3 linked regions of the Elephas maximus indicus genome follow. The protein of the gene in region 3 binds, or shares a complex with, the protein of the main gene of each other region. Links are inferred from orthologs where the notes say so. Each region holds a gene or a part of one and is shown on either strand. Other genes may lie near its edges.

Region 1 (3,743 bases), on a different chromosome or scaffold from region 3:
CCCTCCCACCGTCACCTCAGTCTCCTTTTCCCAGCACCTGTTTCCAGGTGTAAATTAACACCATGCCTTCCCCTGCACAGTTCCAATGGTAGAAGCCCTGGAGCTGGAGGAACCAAGAGGGCTGCCATTGATGCCTAGGAAACAATGGTGGCAGCAACCCAGCGTGGGTAGAGGGAAGTGGTAGAGGTAAGGAGGGGAATGAGCAGTCCCTTCTCCAGAGCGTTGCTATCCCCAGATCCCCAAGGGCATTGTGGCCAGCTGGAAGTGGGAACAGATGGCGCCTTTGCTTAGCCTCATCCCCTCCTAGATGAGGGAGGGCCCTGTCTGATGAAGACCCTAAGGTCATCACCATGGTAACAGCCCCATCTTTCCTGGGGCTTCAGAAAGAGGTTCCAAATGAGGGAATCCTGGGAGTGCCCAGAGGCCACCTCCCTCACCCCACTGCAGCCAGCCCCTCAGATTCAGTTGCTATTTATCTCTGGCCAGGATCCCAGTTGGGCCTACACAGGAACTAGAATTCCCAAGGGTCAGTTCCCTACTTTCAGAATAATGGGAGCAAGTTTCCTTTTCTCAGACAGTTCCAAGCTTAAAGACCCCAAGGGAAATGTGGCCCACAACACACCTTCTCAACATACAAACATAGTGGGTTAGCCTGGGGTGCATCCTGGAAGATGTGATGCTTCTGGGCCCATCGGCTCAGCCCATTAGGCTGGATAATTGGGCCTAACAGAAACCCAAGGAACTAGAAAATCAGAGCTGTTTACCTTCCCAAGGCCTTGGGATTTCAGTTACCCTAACACAGCCCCTGGGATACCTACTACGCAAAAGCTTCCACCGGGGGAGGGGGGTTGGTGGTGAGAGGCTGTCTGCCTGGGAAGTGAGGGTTCAGCAGAAGTTATTAATAAAGGGAGGGGATGAGTTTCCCAAGTCTGATCGGAAACTGCTGCCCTCCTTTCCCTAACCCAGACCTACAGGGGTGTGAGTATAGAAAAAATTTCTAACCCTCCCTAGTGTCTTCTCCAGGAGTGCCGAGAGCCTTGCTTAATCCCAGACCACAAGACCCTATGCCCGTTTCTGGCTGTCACAGAACATCCTGCCCAGCCTGATGGGTCTAGGAAGGAGCTAGGCCCCAGGTCCTAGCTGCCGCCCCGAGAAGCTTCTTCCTGAAGCCTGAACACCAAGTGCCCTGAGAGCTGAAAATCCCAAGAGACCCCCAAAAAGAGGCAGAAGAGATTGAAAAACTAAGAAAAAGACTGGCAGCCAGGAAGCACTACTGAGACTTTTGTGTGAGACCTATTGTTTCCATGAGTAATATAACCAATTGACCTCTCCCCCAGAAGGGGACAGGGAGAAGAGGCTGGCAGAGGTAAAACAAGTCTACAACAGCTGAGGCTGAAAAGTCCTGCCACTGTAGCTGGCAGGTGGCTGCTTGCACCAGCTCCTAATGTGGTTTCATAACCTGCTTCAAACAAGAGCCTGCAGCAACTCCGTTCTGTTAACCACTTTCTTGCTGGTAGCTCTTTCCCACTCTTCCCCTCCCGCCCCGCCCCGCCCCCCCCCCAACTCCACACAAGAATATCCCGGCTCTGCCAGTCTGTCAAGACACCCAAGCCAAGGCTAGAGTGTGCCTCAGGGCAGCCACCAGGTGAGACCTTCCCATTCCCTCCCCCAGGTGAGGGTAGACCTTTAAATGGCAAATCTTTTGCCTTCTGGGTAAGCGGCACAAAACATCCAGGCCTGCACCCTGGACCCCAACTGGGGAGTCCCTGGAAGCACCCCACAATGCCATTTACGTTCTGCACACCCCCTAACCCGCAGGGTCACAGCTTCTCACCTCTCAGCCCCGGCCAGCCTTGGGATACAGAAGGGCGATGGGAATGAAAAGACTGACAGCACCAAGGCAATCCCCCACTAGACGGGAGAGAGGGAGGAGCGAGGAGGCGGAGTCCTCACTATTGTTGGGGCTTTCAGAGTGGGATCTCCGGTCCGCAGGGGAGCCTCCCGCTCCGCTTCCCAGCCTGGGACCTCGCACTCGGAAGAGGACGCGTTCGGGGCCCCACCCCCATCTCCACGCGTTCACCTAGCCCTGGAGGCAGCCAAACCTTTACCCCCGAAGCCGAGCCTCTCCCCGCCCCCTACCCTCAGCTGGGGCGCCCCTCTTCGGCGCCCCAACCCTGTCCTCCCGCCCCCACTTCCCTCTTTGGGCACCCCCCCTCGGCTGATGCACCCCCTCCACACCCGCTCACTTTGTCCGGGTCCCCTCCAGCCGGGGTCCCTTCCCCAGCGGCCCCCTCTCTCCCGCCCCGCTTCTAGTCCTGAGGGCCTCCCGGCTTCCCCACCAGAAGGCCTCTGTTCGTACTTACCCTGCGGGGCCGGAGGTCGGGGGCCCGGGAGTAGTGCCCCGGGACAGGAGCGGGGGCGGGGGCCGCTGCTGCTCTAGCAGCTGTAACAACCCGCAGCAGCAGCCACCCCGCTGGCAGCTCCAGCCGAATCAGCGCCCCGCGCCCGCCCCTGTGACGTCACCGCTTCGCGCCGAGCCTCCTGGCGCCTCCTGGGAGTTGTAGTTTCTTGCCATGCTCTCTCCCAGCCTGTTTACTGCCTCTCTGCAGGAAGTCTCAGCGGGACGCAATACTAAGATCTGGTGGTATTACTTTGGCTCGTAACAATTCCTGTTTCTGTATCCACTCCCTTCAAGTGCTGCTTACAATCGCCCCTGTTTTGCAGATGAGGAAACTCGGAGTTTTAAGTAACTTACCCTAGGTCCCTATGGGGTCCCAGCCTGGACCAGAACCCAGGGATCTGGCCCCAAATGCAGGGTTTTTCCACTACACGTCGCCGCCTCCGCCTTGGTCCCAGATTGGCTCCTCCAGAAAGCGGACTAACCCGACATTTTGCCCAGCGGGACCCTCCTGGGAGCAGGTCTTTTGCAACTTTGGCTGGTTTAAGGGTCTGGAAGGGCGAGAACGCAGCCTGTGGGCAGCGTTTGCGTTTGTCCAGAGCCTTTTGGCTAGCTCCTTCTCAGTTACGCTTGGCCTAGGCCAAATCCTCGGCCTCCTCCCATCAGACCTCAGAAGAGGCCACGTGTCATGGAAGGATTCCTTGATGAAGAGTTAGGAGTCTGAGTACCAGTCCCAAATCAGCGTGCGTGGTTTTGGGTGGGAGATTCCACCTCTCTGGCCGGCAGTTTTCGCAGTCTCCATCCTCTAAAGGTGAGGGCAGATCTAAAGGTAGTCATAGTGTAGGAACTCTTAGCAGCAGTGTAACCCTGTGCAAATTCCTTAATTTGTCTTAATCTCCAGTTGCACACCTGTGAAATCCTACCTCAGAGTTGTTGTGAAAATTCAAAAGAATATAGGTAAAGCACCTGTTGCATTATAGTAAACTATTTCTGTAGGAAACTAAACTAAATGGCTTTTGAAGTCTCCTGGCTAACTTCCACTCTGCATATCACCAAAGGGTCTTGTTTGGGTAGTTTCCACTCGTCCACCCAGGTTCTCTATGTTTGGGCTGGAATTGTGGAATTAATGACATCATGGCATGATAAACCTGACTGGCTGCAAAACAAAATTTTTTTATTGAGTGTATTCTGACTCACGGTGACCCTATGTGTTACAGGGTAGAACTGCTAAGCAGTTCTTGGCTGTATCTCTACAGAAGCAGATCTCCAGGCCTTTCTTGGTCAGTAATGCTGGATGGGTTCAAACCACCAACCTCTAAACTTTAGGTTAGTACAGACTGCTTGT
Region 2 (3,743 bases), about 44 Mb from region 3:
ACACATTCTTTTTGCTCCAGCCATGTGGAAGTTTTTCCAGCCCTTTAAAAGTGTTGGGCTTTCATATAGGGGTGTCTGCTCCTGTACTTGGAATATTCATCCCACCCTCTCCTCCCCAACTCGTTCACTCTTCCATTTCTATTTGTTCTTCAAAACTTAGCTCAACCACCATTTCCCACAAGCCTTTTACAACCCCAGCTTGACTTCTACTAGCCTTTTCTCTGGGCTGTCTTGGCATCCTCCACATGACACATACCCTTAACCACACCTCACTGAAATCAGTGCCTCTCTTCCTCAATAGACTGGGTACCTTTATGAAGGCAGCTCCCAGTCTACCTGGTTTCTATCAACAATGTCTAGCTCATAAACAGCACTGGATATTTCTAAATTAATAAAAGTTATCAACCATGACAGTTTTAAAGTTTAAGCAGTAAACCTAGAAACCACTTTAAAATTTAAACAGCAGGCCATTTAACTGTGACATACCACATGCTAACAGTGCATTGCGTTCCTAATGGCAAGTGCAATGTTGCTGGCCCATTTTCCAGTGGGAAAAGCTGGACATTTAGGAAAACATCTCTGTGAGATTCACCAGCCCACATATGGATCTCAAGCAGCCTGTCTGTCGTCTGCAGAACCCACCAGATTAGAGGGCATCTCCTGGCCTTGACCTACACTGTACCTATAACTTCTAAAAGAGGTGGGCAGGTAGAGATTTATCGTAACCGTGGTTGTCTTTAGGTTAAGGAGTGCAGGAGTATGTTTGTCCGTGTGGGTATATTTTTGTGCGTGTGCACGGGTGGGGGAGGAAGGAGGCGATGTGTGCATCACTTCAGAGTCGCCTTTCCTGACCTTCACTCGCTGACGTTCGTCTCTCCCATCCTCTTCGCACTTTATTCTCCTCCTTTGCTCTGATCATTCAGCTTTACTTGCATTTTAGTAACAGATTAATGTCTGTCTTCCCCGATAGACTGTAAACTGCACTAAGTAAGGAGCCTAGTATGTTCCTGGTTCGTTCCAGTAATCCCCTGCCCAGTAGGACGCCTGAGGCATAACAGGTATTCAACAGCTATTTCTCCGACAAGCGTTCAAAGGACCTTCCGGGCAGACTGACCGCTCCCGTGTCCCCACCCCAGCGGACAACAACGCTTTGCCTACCAACGGCCGGGTGGAGGCGGGGCGGACGGGGCGCGGCACGCAGCGCGCGGCGGGTGCGCTCTCGCGGGGACCGTTCTCTGGATCGCGTGGGCGCGGCCCGGCGGGGGAAGGGGAAACGGGGAGGAGGCGGGCGACACGCGAAGGAGGGACCTGGCCAATGAGGGCCGGCCGGGCGGGGCTCGCTGCCGTCCGGTTGCTCGGGCGCGCGCCGGGCTGGGCGTGCCCACGGGTGACGCGCGGGGCTGGACGGGCCAATTGGTGCGGGGCGGCGGGCGGGCGGGACTCGAGCCCCTGGGCTTTAGGACGTGAACCGGCGGCCGGACGGACAGACTGACGATCGGCCCCATCGCGGGAGTTGCATGGCAGGCATGGCGCTGGCACGGGCCTGGGAGCAGATGTCCTGGTTGTACTACCAGTATCTGCTCGTCACAGCGCTGTACATGCTGGAGCCCTGGGAGCGGACTGTGTTCAGTATCCTGCCCGGGCCGCGCGCGTGGGGGGGTGGTTGGGGCAGGCCACGGGGCTCCCTCCTTCCGGGCCCAGGGGCTGGGGGGGGCGCGGGTGGGCACCGGAGAGAAGTCTTCCCGGCCCGGGTAAGCGGACGGGCCTTTTCGCAGCTGGTGGCATGGGGGCCTGTCGCGCGGTCAAGGGGGGGCGAGAACTTGAGCTCCGGAGCCTGCCTGTGAGTCAGTTGACCTGGGGTAGAGCAGTATTTTTTTCTGGAGGAAATCCCCAAGGGTGGTGTCCTACCCGGTACATCCTCGTTTGCTCTTTGGCCGCGGCTGCTTTTGGTTCAGCCCCTATGTGTTCTTGTGGGAGGCAGAGACCGTGTAGTGGAGCAAATCGCTCCCAGTTTGGATGCCTTTGACCTTTAACTGTCCCCCGATTTAGCTGGCTTTGGTCCTGATGAGAATTCTAACCAGTTTGCCAGCTTTTAAAACCGGATTGTGAATTTGTGGTCATGACACCCCAGTGCAGTTTTTGAAAGCAGTTTAAGTTATTGTGCCTTTTTGGTCTTCAATGATGGGTAATTTAAAATGTTTTATTAAATGAATTCTTTCTCCTTTTTGGTCTTCAATGATGGGTAATTTTAAATGTTTTGTTAAATGAATTCTTTCTCTGTTTGCATCCTCCGTAGAAGTCCTGCCCGAAAAAGGAATTTGTGGTTAGTTGTAGTTAGGGTTTGACACTGTTTGGACGAATAAGAGTTAATAAATACTTGCTAAAGACTACAGATTACTGTGAGCCAAACTACTGTGCTAGGTACTTTTGCATATATTTTAACTTATCTAACCTTCCCAACAACTCCAGCGAATAACTCGAGGTTGTAAAGAGAGGCTTCCTGAAGTCTGATTTTTCGTGCCTCCAGTTGCCTATGTTTTGACACCGCTTGATAATGACATTCTCGAAGAATAAATACTAATTATGAGATGTAACTTTTTTTTTTTAAACTTTGAGGCCAATATGAAACTGATATTCCACATACGTGTTTACTTCAGACAGGGTCTCTTCCTTTTCAGTGTGGTTTGGTTGGGAGTTGCCTGCTTCAGGACAGTTTTGCAAATGCGTTGTTGCATTCCGGTAGAGTGACTGAGGTAATTTCATTCCAAGCCTTATGGAGTGTGTTTGTGCTGAAGTAGCGTAAGGTTATACTCAGAGTCTTTTGTTTCAACATTTTTGAGGAAACTTAGCTGTAAGGCAGTTTATTTATTATCATTGACATTTCTTTGCAATATGGAATAATTTAAGAACAAGAATACATGTTTCAGATTTAGATTCTGAAGGTAAAGTCGAGTCTGGCCCCGCCCCCCCATCCTGCCCCCGCCATTTGCTTGTAGTTCCCGTTCAGTCTCACTGTTAAGTTCTGTAGGTTAGAGTTCATGAGGTCATGCCTTGTATGATGTTGTACAATATTGTATGGATATTTAATTGAAATTTCTCAATGGAAGCACACATTTCTTGTCTCACTTAAAATCGTCTTAAAAATGGATTTAAACGCTGTTGGAGTAAATTGACACGCTTTAAATCAGAGGAAACCCTGGTGGTGTAGTGGTTAAGTGCTACAGCTGCTAACCAAGAGGTCGGCAGTTCAAATCTGTCAGGCGCTCCTTGGAAACTCTATGGGGCAGTTCTGTTCTGTCCTACAGGGTCGCTATGAGTCAGAATCGACTCGATGGCAGTGGGTTTAAATCAGAAATTGAGTGTAGAGCCCACTATCAGAGTCTAGTATAGATCTTACATTTAAAGCTATTGTTGGCATAGGGATAAATGTTGCAGTTGTCAATGGTGTTATGGTTTTTCTGTTTTCTGTTGCATGATACCCACCCATGCATACCCACTGTTAGTAGCCTTAGCTCTTAACCACTGTGCTGCCAGGGTTGCAATGATATAACATATAAATTCCTAGGTGGTAATTTTTTGGGGGGAGGATGGAGAAATAAATTATGAACTCAAATGCAGTGCTTCTATAGATTTTTTTGCCCTTAGCTTTTGACTTCTCTTTGGTTTTTACGACCAAGTGGTATCTGTTAGTGTAGAATCTTAAGATTTTAAACCTAAAACTTAAAAACAGTCTTACTGGAAAG
Region 3 (3,743 bases):
AGACTGCCAGAAGGACAAATAAATCTGTCTTGGAAGACGTACAGCCAGGGTGCTCCTTAGAAGCCAGGATGGCAAGACTTTGTCTCACATACTTGGACATGTTATCAGGCGGGACCAGTCCCTGGAGAAGGACATCATGCTTGGTAAAGCAGAGGGTCAGCAAAAAAGAGGAAGGCCCTCAACAAGATGGAATGACACAGCGGCTGCAACAATGGGGTCAAACACAGCAACTAAGATGAGGATGGCACAGGACCAGGCAGAGTTTCGTTCTGTTGTACATAGGGTCGCTATTAGTTGGAAGCGACCTGACAGCACCTAACACACACACGTACACCTCTCATTCACCTGCAATCTACTAACTCATAGCCATTAAGTTCATATTTTATCCCACAACGATTTCATCTAATTAGTCACTTACATTGCTAGGAAAACAAAAAAATTATTCCACACTTTACAATTAGTTGATTCTTATCATTTCCTCGCCCCCTTTTTTTTTTTTTAACTAAAACAAACCTTTTGACTGTATTATTTTGCCTTACACCTTACAACCTCAGGGAACAAAAAGGTTCTTTTATGTATTTTTTCCCCCAACTCTCATAGTCTCAATATCTCAATTTGACCTGGAGAAATGCTTTATTTACTGATTTACACCAAACAATAGCAGGTCTAGCCATCATACATACTGATCGGGGGAAGCTGCGAGATATTTACATTAAAGCCAAAGTAAGATCACTATCCTGTCAAAAACTGCAACTGTCACAGCTCCTGCTAAGGGGAACGGACTACTTTTTTATATTTTCCTTAATATCTGAATGAGACCTATGAGTCAGTTGCAAATTATCACAACACTCAGTTTTTGCATCTTTATAACTAGCTCATCTTCAAAAACATCTATCTGTAGAGTATCTGTCAGCCCAGAGAATTGGAAGGTTGATATATTGTCTTGATCTTGGAACTTTTCAAAATATTTTAGAACTGCCTGAACTTGGTTGGTGATTCAGCCTTGGTTAATTAGTACAGACTCATCACAAGTCACCACTAAACAATCCCCTTGCGTGATAACAGTCTCACTCAAAGGGTCAAAGGGACCACAACTCAACAGGGACCTCTCCTGCACCCGGGATGGGGTGCCCCCCCAGGCAGAGTATGAAGACAATGCTTTTGAGGCACGGGGCAGTGTTACACTGCCAGATCTATGGTCCAAAGTCCTGCATGTGCAGCGGACCCCGAACCTGGGAGGAAGAAAATAATGTATTTCCTCCTCGCGTTGCTATTGTTAGGTGTCTTCCAGTCATTTTGACTCATAGTGACCCCATGTTACAGAGTAGAACTGCGTCCATAGGCTTTTCTTGGGTGTAATCTTTATGGGAACAGATAGCCACGTCTTTCTCCCGCGGAGTCACTGGGTGAGTTTGAACCGCCAACCTTTGGTTAGCAGCTAGGCTTTTACCCATTACACCACCCGGGCTTCCTTCCTCCTAACTAAAACCCATTGCCATCAAGTCCATTCTGACTCATAGTGACCCTACAGGACAGAGCAGAGCTGTCCCATAGGGTTCCCAAAGCTGTAAATCCTTACGGAAGCGGACTGCCACATCTTTCTCCCTCAGAGCGGCCGGAGGGTTCCAATCGCCGACCTTTTGGTTGGCAGCCGAGCGCTGTAACCACTGCGCCACCAGGGCTCCTATCCCTCCTCATAGCACCTCCTAACTTTTTTTTGCCCCTTAAAGACTCCAAGGGTGGTTTTCCGTGGATGCCTTCAGGACCGAGAGGAAGCAACTACCTCGAGTTTGAGGAGGGAGCCTCAGGAGAAAGAACCCAGAGCCCTTGAAGGGATCCTAATGGGTCCGAGGGAGTCACTCGCTGCCTTCCCTGGGAGAGGCTCGCACCTTTACCCGGATCAGGTAAGGGAAGGTACCCGTGGCTCTGAGCAGAGCCCAAGCCTTCGGCGGAGAGGAAAACAAGACCGTCAGGCACGGAGAGAGAGGAGCCTCTGCGCCGCCCTTGAGCCCTCCGGCTCGGGCCAGGCCCGGTCAGCGCCAGGACCCCGCGGCCAGCACGCCCGAGCCGCCCCCGGCGCCCGGCCCCGCAGAGAGCCACCGCAACCCTACGCCGCCCGGCTGCCCCTCGGCCGGCTCCGCTCCGGCGCCCGCTCGCTGGGTCCCAGCCCGCCTCCCCCAGCCGCGCCGCCCGCTGCGCCCGCCGCCCAGCCCCACGGTACCTGGCCAGCGGCGGCGGCGGCAGCTGCGCTGCTCCGCACATATCCGTTCAGCACCTCCCCGTTCGCAACGCAGCCGTTCGCCCGCATCGGGCGACGGCAGCAGCAGCCTTCAGACCCCGGCCGCATCGTCCCAGCAGCGACAGGCACAAGGCAGGCTCTGTAGGCGATGGCAGCAGTGGCGGCAGCCAGGGGTCCCACCCTGCTCCGCACCCCACCCACCTCCTCGAAACCGGAAATGGCTGCAGAGCAGCGGCCAATTCCTGGCCTAGCCGTCACAGGGGGCGGGGCCTATCCCGCCAGAAGGCCGCGGCTCTCCGCAGGCCCGGCCAAAAAGGGAGAGGCGGGGCGGGATCGGACCAAGGAGGAGCGTGTGTCTGAGGACCGTCGACCAATCTGTAGGAGTAGGAGGCGTACCTTATGCGGCCTCTTGGCCAATCACCGGCCAGAATAAGGCGCCTCGCCGGGGTAGATGGGGATTCTCCCGAGGGACTGTGAGCCTGCCAGCTGATTGGAGGCCCAAAGCGGGTTGTGGATAGGGCTTGGCTGCTTAATGGTCTGGACGAGGAGGAGGCGGGGTCCAAGAAGAAGTAGCCAATTAGAGTGTGAGGAGAGAAAGGGGGCTGAGCGTAAGTCTCGAGCGGGTTTCCTAGTTGTCTTGGATTGGCGGTGCCCTCTCTGCCCTTGCCTCCAGGGAAGATGGTTTGAACCTCAGCCCAAGACTGGCAAGCTCCTTTATTTAATTAACTAATTCCTCTGTGGGTGTTTATAGAATAGCCTTTTTGACATTCATTCTCTTCTCATTATTCTTCAATATATACCACACATTCTTTAGATATGTTAACACATTTTTTAATACAGATGTCCCTTTGCCCTTTACATAGTTTCTCTCAGGGTTTTCTGTACCATCTTCTTTAAAGCCAGGAAAGCTGGTCTATTTCCAGCTCTGCCAATTACTGGAAGCTAAACTTTGGGTACTTAAGCACTTTGGGAGCCAGTTTCTTCACCTGTAAAGTGGAATTACTGCTTCCCGCTTCATAGAGTCACTGCAGGATTTTTATTAATAACGTGTTGTGCACATTAACCCATTGCTGTTGAGTTGATTCCGACTCATAGCAACCCTCATAGGACAGAGCAGAGCTGTCCTATGGGGTCTCCAGGTAGCAGCTGGTGGATTCAAACCGCAGATCTTTTGGTTAGCTGCCATAGCTCTTAACCACTGGGCAACCAGGACTCCATGCACTATTAAAACAAAAAACAAAACCCATTGCCGGGGAGTTGATTCCGACTCATAGTGACCCTATAGGACAGAGTAGAACTGCCCCACAGGGTTTCCAAGGAGCGCCTGGTAGATTCAAACTGGCAACCTTTTGGTTAGCAGCCAAACAACCAGTACACCACCAGGGTTTCCACACTTCCTCCTGGGTTCGAACTGCCGACTTTTGGTTAACACCGTAGCTCTTAACCACTGTGCCACTAGGGCTCCAACAGCCTTAGTGACTAAAAACCTCAGTGTCATGGTTGA

The links.
Region 1: the proteins of SPTLC2 (region 3) and ORMDL3 are in contact, whole or in part, in a cryo-EM structure (PDB 7K0O), measured with the Homo sapiens proteins. The link is inferred for Elephas maximus indicus from reciprocal best matches to the Homo sapiens genes SPTLC2 and ORMDL3. Residues at the interface, in NP_004854.1 of Homo sapiens: Glu65, Thr66, Pro67, Met68, Ala71, Val72, Tyr75, Tyr86, Gln116, Phe118, Glu119, Asn120, Phe121, Tyr122, Tyr127, Trp134, Asp259, Glu260, Leu261, Asn262, Val267, Arg271, Ile279, Met320, Val495, Val496, Gly497, Phe498, Pro499, Ala500; in NP_001307730.1 of Homo sapiens: Met1, Asn2, Val3, Gly4, Thr5, Ala6, His7, Ser8, Pro12, Val16, Ser19, Arg20, Gly21, Ile22, Leu24, Ser25, Leu28, Phe63, Val67, Lys68, Gly69, Thr70, Pro71, Phe72, Glu73, Pro75, Gln77, Arg81.
Region 2: the proteins of SPTLC2 (region 3) and SPTSSA are in contact, whole or in part, in a cryo-EM structure (PDB 7K0K), measured with the Homo sapiens proteins. The link is inferred for Elephas maximus indicus from reciprocal best matches to the Homo sapiens genes SPTLC2 and SPTSSA. Residues at the interface, in NP_004854.1 of Homo sapiens: Leu73, Gly77, Val80, Leu81, Phe84, Leu87, Arg88, Leu91, Leu126, Arg129, Ile130, Tyr156, Met475, Pro476, Ala477, Lys478, Gly480, Ala481, Arg484, Glu485, Asp533, Leu534, Leu535, Gln536; in NP_612145.2 of Homo sapiens: Trp15, Tyr18, Gln19, Leu21, Leu22, Val23, Thr24, Ala25, Tyr27, Met28, Leu29, Glu30, Pro31, Trp32, Glu33, Val36, Phe37.

Annotation. Positions count from the first base shown.
Region 1 is NC_064837.1:47,192,778-47,196,520, forward strand, and holds the start of ORMDL3 (ORM1-like protein 3), read right to left. Parts: upstream 2,449-3,743; 5' UTR 2,364-2,448; intron 1-2,363. UniProt on the Homo sapiens protein: Plays an essential role in the homeostatic regulation of sphingolipid de novo biosynthesis by modulating the activity of the serine palmitoyltransferase (SPT) in response to ceramide levels.
Region 2 is NC_064828.1:46,869,313-46,873,055, reverse strand, and holds the start of SPTSSA (serine palmitoyltransferase small subunit A), read left to right. Parts: upstream 1-1,428; 5' UTR 1,429-1,517; coding exon 1,518-1,629; intron 1,630-3,743. UniProt on the Homo sapiens protein: Component of the serine palmitoyltransferase multisubunit enzyme (SPT) that catalyzes the initial and rate-limiting step in sphingolipid biosynthesis by condensing L-serine and activated acyl-CoA (most commonly palmitoyl-CoA) to form long-chain bases.
Region 3 is NC_064828.1:90,419,393-90,423,135, forward strand, and holds the start of SPTLC2 (serine palmitoyltransferase 2), read right to left. Parts: upstream 2,447-3,743; 5' UTR 2,348-2,446; coding exon 2,222-2,347; intron 1-2,221. UniProt on the Homo sapiens protein: Component of the serine palmitoyltransferase multisubunit enzyme (SPT) that catalyzes the initial and rate-limiting step in sphingolipid biosynthesis by condensing L-serine and activated acyl-CoA (most commonly palmitoyl-CoA) to form long-chain bases.